Oryza sativa Japonica Group: one gene and its partner. Each later gene encodes a partner of the first gene's protein in a complex. Links are inferred from orthologs where the notes say so. Each region holds a gene or a part of one and is shown in the gene's direction. Other genes may lie near its edges.

The links.
Region 2: rps4 (region 1) and small ribosomal subunit protein uS13c share a complex: the UniProt entries of both Arabidopsis thaliana proteins name them as parts of the 30S ribosomal subunit. The link is inferred for Oryza sativa Japonica Group from reciprocal best matches to the Arabidopsis thaliana genes rps4 and EMB3137.

The regions. Positions count from the first base shown.
Region 1 is NC_001320.1:44,264-46,972, reverse strand, and holds rps4 (ribosomal protein S4), read left to right. Parts: upstream 1-1,557; coding exon 1,558-2,163; downstream 2,164-2,709. UniProt on the Arabidopsis thaliana protein: One of the primary rRNA binding proteins, it binds directly to 16S rRNA where it nucleates assembly of the body of the 30S subunit. With S5 and S12 plays an important role in translational accuracy.
Region 2 is NC_089037.1:29,173,503-29,177,611, forward strand, and holds small ribosomal subunit protein uS13c, read left to right. Parts: upstream 1-1,547; 5' UTR 1,548-1,641; coding exon 1,642-1,740; intron 1,741-2,434; coding exon 2,435-2,674; intron 2,675-3,057; coding exon 3,058-3,234; 3' UTR 3,235-3,449; downstream 3,450-4,109. Other genes in the region: uncharacterized membrane protein At4g09580, read left to right, coding at 100-231. UniProt on the Arabidopsis thaliana protein: Located at the top of the head of the 30S subunit, it contacts several helices of the 16S rRNA.

The DNA.
Region 1 (2,709 bases):
AAAAAATTATGAATTTTCTATTTCATAATCATTCCTATTTTCATTTTAAAAAAGAATTAAAGAACCTATATTATGATATGAGTTCTGTGATTAATCGTTTGCTATGCCAGTATCTATACGTGGTATTAGATTTCGAAAGCCCTTCTTTCCCTAATTTAGAAGGGAGTTCCGCTAGCAACACAACGTAATTAACTCGATTCGTTAGAACAGCTTCCATTGAGTCTCTGCACCTATCCTTTTCCTTTGGGTTCTAGTTCGAGAACCGCTTGTTTTCTCAAAACATGGATTTGGCTCAGGATTGCCCCTTTTTTAATTCCAGGGTTTCTCTGAATTTGGAAGTTGCCACTTAGCAGGTTTCCATACCAAGGCTCAATACAATCAAGTCCGTAGCGTCTACCGATTTCGCCATATCCCCATTTTCTTTTTCTTTGAGACCAGGATTCCTTGTGCAATTTCCTCCATCTGTTAGTTTTTTTTGAATCGTTGAATTCATTACTCTATGTAGTCTAGCGGTTCGTCTCTAGTTGAGAGACTCCGCTTATTGCAATTCAGCATTGAATTGATTCTATCGTTGATGTATTTGCAATTCAATGCGAATCAATATATCCCAAGGTTTTTCTCTCCCCCACCTACCGCGTTCCTTTTTTAGAGTATTCAAAATCATACTATAACGCTTGATATTCATTCTTTTTTTTTGCTAATCAGAATTAGCAATTTCATTTGCTATGATTCTATGTTCTCCTTAGTGAAATATTAATCATTAAATTATTAGCAAATAACAAAAAAAAACAAAATAATCTCAAAAAATGTCTATAATGATGGACTGAAAATACAAGAAATTCGCATGTTCTCTTTATTATGTTTTCGTATATAATATATATTATTTATTCTTTTCCATGTATTAGATTATTCGTCCGAGCCATATCAAATTAAAAATATCTAAAATCAAATTCAATATAGAAATTGGAATAGATTCTATTAGAAAAATAGATTTGCGAATTAGAGAAAAAAGAAAGTTCAAAAAAATCTATCTAACTTTATTTTATGAAGTTCTAGTATTTTTTTCTAAGTAGAACTTCCAATTTCGAACTAGTTAATAGCTAAGATTAATAATTAAGATCTGACATTTTACGGATTTCCTATACTATACATATTTCTATTTGTTACACTATTTCTGTTATGTAAGCCCACTTAGCTCAGAGGTTAGAGCATCGCATTTGTAATGCGAGGGTCATCGGTTCAAATCCGATAGTCGGCTTTTTTCTCTATCAATGTTCCATGAACAAAAATACCTCTTTTTCTCCGAATTAAATGGAGAAGCCAGGATCTATTATGTCGGTCTACCCTACAATTTTGCTAGATACAAAACAATAAAATAAATAATATATATACAAAAATTCAGATGTTGATGAAATTCCATTTTTTTGTGGTACTTTTAGTAGATTTTACTCTGTTTATCCTTTACTTTAATTCAGTTTTAATTTCGATGTATTCTGTAATGTAAATACAATGAAATTAATTGTGTAAAATGAAATTTCAATAAAAAAAGGAGTCTTCATGTCCCGTTATCGAGGACCTCGTTTTAAAAAAATACGCCGTCTGGGAGCTTTACCAGGACTCACTAGAAAAACACCTAAATCCGGAAGTAATCTGAAAAAGAAATTCCATTCTGGGAAAAAAGAACAATATCGTATTCGTCTTCAAGAAAAACAGAAATTGCGTTTTCATTATGGTCTGACAGAACGACAATTACTTAGATATGTACATATCGCTGGAAAAGCAAAAAGTTCAACAGGTCAGGTTTTACTACAATTACTTGAAATGCGTTTGGATAATATCCTTTTTCGATTAGGTATGGCTTCAACCATTCCCGAGGCCCGGCAATTAGTTAACCATAGACATATTTTAGTTAATGGTCGTATAGTCGATATACCAAGTTTTCGTTGCAAACCCCGAGATATTATTACTACGAAGGATAACCAAAGATCAAAACGTCTGGTTCAAAATTCTATTGCTTCATCCGACCCGGGGAAATTGCCAAAGCATTTGACGATTGACACATTGCAATATAAAGGACTAGTAAAAAAAATCCTGGATAGGAAGTGGGTCGGTCTCAAAATAAATGAGTTGTTAGTTGTAGAATATTACTCTCGTCAAACTTGAACTTAAGGAAAAACGGAAAGGTTCATAGAATTTTTCTTCCCTTCCCCTTTCCCCGAACTAAATCGACCTAAGGCTCTTAATTCGTATTTTCCCATTCACCTAACAGAAATGGATTAACCCTAGGATTCCTTTTTGTTTTTTGTTCTTTCCTCTATGTGTATTTTACATACCATAGTAATTTGGTATAGAGAATTTCTATTAAATAAAGGTATTGTATTATTGCTGGAATAAATTGTCATTTGATTTGATACATTGTAATCATTAACGTTGCTGAATTAAGAAAAACGGAAAGAGAGGGATTCGAACCCTCGGTAAACAAAAGTCTACATAGCAGTTCCAATGCTACGCCTTGAACCGCTCGGCCATCTCTCCTCCATAATCTTATTATGGAAAAAAAACTGAGTGAATAGCGAGTTTTCCTATTCCTGCAGTACAGGTACAACCACAACCGCGCGAGAGTTCCATTGTTCTATTAGATAGAAAAATTCCTTTTCATCTAAGTGGACGGGTCCAGGATTTTTTTACTAGGAATTCCGCTCCCTCGAA
Region 2 (4,109 bases), on another chromosome or scaffold:
CTTAGTTGTGGACGGGTTTGGTGGTTGATCTGATTGTATTATCTGTTTCCAGTGATACCATTTTATCTACTCATCACCATTCTTACTGCTGTCTTGCAGGCTGGTAGGGCACTAGGCGATCTAAGATCACTTAGGGAACTGTATGACTCAAAAACACTAGTAATTCTATTCCTCATTGGAACTGTTGCTGTTGCTCCAACGATTCTGAAAAGGAAGAGAATATACGAATGATGCCACTAAAAAGCATCTAAACAGTGTATTAGTAGAGCACTCCAGAAGTGTATTAGTTTTTTTTCCCTTTCTTTGTTGATATTGTATACCTATTCAATTTAGCTGTAGAGATGTAGTAGTAACATGATGAATGTTTTCCTCAATAATAGATGACGCTAAGCTGTTGCATCTGTTGCCCCAATGTTCTTATAAATCCCCACGTCCCAATTAACGATGCGGTGGAACTATCTGGTTGTTGTGGTTTTACAGTAAATCTTACTGCTCCCAATTGGATGGGCAACCTTATCCGTCGTTTTGAAATGATGTGTTATTTGCCACCAATTGTCCTATTATCTCCATTTATTTTATTTTCACTTGAGACATTTCTGCAAGATGATATTCAGAACGTTCCCCACAGATTATCCTAATACAAAATGCAATACGAATTAAACTTACATTTAGTAGTACCTAAACTGTTACATCTAGGATTATAAACGTGCTGAAATTCTTTATCCTCCCACAAAAACCCCAGAAATTTATATTCAGAGGAAGCTTATGCAGTTCTTTATCCTCCCACAAAAACCCCAGAAATTTATATTCAGAAGAAGCTTATGCAGCATAGCTGATCCTAAAGGCTACAACATATTCTTCTTTTTTTCCTAGAGAGAGGAGAATATTTTCTTTCGTGTTTACTCCCTCCATCTTAAAAAAAAGCTTAAAAAAAAGAAAGTCAGGAACATAACTTAAAAAAGCTTTAAAAAAAAAGAAAGTCAGGAACATAACTTAAGACTGTGTTCGGGAGGAACTCACCTCTCGCGCACGTAAAACGGAGCGAAGCATTTTCTTATGATTAATTAAGTATTTATTAATTGTTTTTGAAAAATGATTTTTTAAAAGCAACTTTTGTGTAGAAATCTTTAAAAAAACACATCGTTTAACCGTTTGAAAAGCGTGCATGCAGAACACAAGGGAGATGTGTTGGAAAAAGTGGGAAAAGAACACAGCCTAGTACTAACTTAATAGCCTAGTACTAACTTAGGGTGTGTTTAGTTCACGCTAAAATTGGAAGCTTGATTGAAATTAGAACGATGTGACAGAAAAGTTGGAAGTTTATGTGTGTAGGAAAGTTTTGATGTGATGTAAAAGTTGGAAGTTTGAAGAAAAAAATTGCAACTACGGCGTTATCTAGATATGGAGTACTCCTAGCTTGTTCTTTTTTCTTTTTCTTTTTTTAACAGAAGGAGTAAACTAGCGACTTGACCTGTTTGGGCCGTACCCTGCAAGGCCCAACCCAAGAAGTCGCCGATACAGTGGTAGCCTACAGGTGCGGCTACCTTATCGGCTTCCTTCCCGTTGGGTTCTATCCGAGACAGCACCGAGAGCTCCGGGAGAGAAGCGCACGCACCTCCGTCCCTCGTCGGGAGCGCAGAAATGGCGACCCTCTCGATGGTCTCCGTCCCCATCGCCACCTCCTCCCTGCCCCTCTCCGCCCGAGGCCGCAGCTCCTCCGTCTCCTTCCCCGTTCCCAAGGTGAGAAGCAAAGCCACCCCTCCCCCCGCCTCCCCCCTCCGCGCCCACTTCTTGTTCGGCCATTTGCTCGCTCGTCCTGTTCCTTGGTTCTGTGCGATTGATATGTGATTCACGCATGACGCATCGTACATCCGTATCACTTATTGCAACTCAACCCCTGGGATCGTTTTGTTATCTTTGCCATCTTGGAGGTTGGGGAGGCTAGTGGCCGTGCTTTGTGTACTACAGTACTAATTTTGAGTATGTGCAATTCAGTAGTTTTTTTTCCGTGATGTTGGAAGAACAGTGTTCCTGTGCAATTTTAGAATTATTGGCATCTGTGAGGAACTAGTATTTATATGCTTGTATGCTTATGAGTTTGAATCTCTGCCCCTAGCACATATCATGTTGGAAGAATGGATAGTGTTACGAAGTAGTATTTCTTTGGACAGCAGAGTGTATATGTAATTCATGTAGGGACTAGGAATAGCAAAGAAGGTTAATTATGCATATAGGATGTAAAAAGAATCGTAATTCCTTGTTAGTACTCCCTCAGTTTCATACTATAAGTAGTCAAAGTTCTTTAGGTTTGACCAAGTTTAAAGAAAAAATTTCCCCACCCCATTATCTTTACTTGCCCAGTCATTTGTAGGCCTGTGCTTTTAACTGTGTTGTGGTTTTGATTCTTTTTTTTTTATTATTGGGTACTGGACAGAAAGGGGGTATTGGTCATGGTGGCCTGCGGATCGAGTGCATTCGTATTGGTGGAGTGGAGATCCCGAACCACAAGAGGGTAGAGTACTCACTGCAGTACATCCATGGCATTGGGCGGTCACGCTCCCGTCAGATCCTCTTGGACCTCAATTTTGACAACAAGGTCACAAAGGACCTCTCCGAGGAGGAAGTCATCACTCTCCGTAAGGAGGTTACCAAGTACATGATTGAGGGAGACCTTGTAATGGCCCTATCCCTTGCTAATTCATCACTTAACTTTTTTTCTGTAATTTTGGTGATTAGTATGGTTACCCTACTTTGGTACTTCCTCCGTTTCACAATATAAGTCATTCTAGCATTTCCCACATTCATATTGATACTAATAAATCTAGATAGATATATATGTCTAGATTCATTAGCATCAATATGAATGTGGTAAATGTTAGAATGACTTACATTGTGAAACGGAGGGAGTAGCATGTTGAAGATTCCTTGAAATTTGGTACCCTTAAACTGATCGTTCTGAAAAAAAAAAGACTCTGTAGTTCTTTTCCCATTTCTGTCATCGTGGATTTATGTTGTGTTGCTAAAATAGAGTTCTGATGTGTTTGCCATGCTTTACAGAAACGGTTTAATCGTGTGGCGATTGAGAGGTTGAAGGAGATTAGGTGTTACAGGGGCATCCGCCACAAGCTAGGGCTGCCAGTTCGTGGACAGAGGACGAAGAACAATTGCAGGACGCTGAAGGGAAGGAGGGCTTCTGTTGCGAAGAAGAAGTCGCCTGCTTCCCAGGAGGAATAAGACACATTGCCATGTATTTACCTTTGGTTCTTTGCCTCTTGTTTATTTTTTGTGTTCTGCTTGACCACGCTCTTGTCTGGTATTATGAGATTTTATGTTGGTGTCGTCATAGATGAATCACGGGTTGTGATCTGTCACTGAAAAAGTTATATTTGTCACCTGTCTTACATGAACTGATGCTAAATTAAGGTTATACTATGTTTTTCAGTCCATCATCTTGCTGTCTCTCTTCTGTTGTCATATCTATGCTTGACCGACCTGTTCCTGATGAATTAACGTATCGCCAGTTTTCTGTCCATTTGTTCCACATGCCACCGTCAGATCTAATGCCTTGTTAACTTTACAAGCTGAAAGAGGAGTATCAGTGTAGCTGAATAATAATATTAGGAACCTGCCTTGCTGATAGCAGCAGACGGGGCTTTTAACTATTTGCCACTCTTACGAATGGTGCTTAACGATTTGCTACTAGACCCACATGTCATAGACACATGAGGGCCCACATGTTATTGGCAGGGTGTGGCAAATCGTTAATTGCCATGTCACAAGAGTGGCAAATAGTTAAATTTCCCGCAGCGGACACCAGTCGAGATTTTGGTTTTTTGTGAAGAGATGATTTAAACTTGAGTTACCAATTACCATGATTACCATGCGTGTGGTTGGAACATGGAACTTTCTGGAGAGAGCTGCTCGGCTCAATCTTGGCTTGTTCACTTTGTTGTCCAAATCAACCATACCAAATTTTGTTACATTTCGGTACTACTGGCTTTGTTTGGTTTGATATCTTACCAAATTTTGGTAGAGGTTTAAGAGGAAGCTTCTAAGACTCCCAAATTTTGGTTTAGTAGTAATGGTTGAAGTATGTTTACTTTATTGTT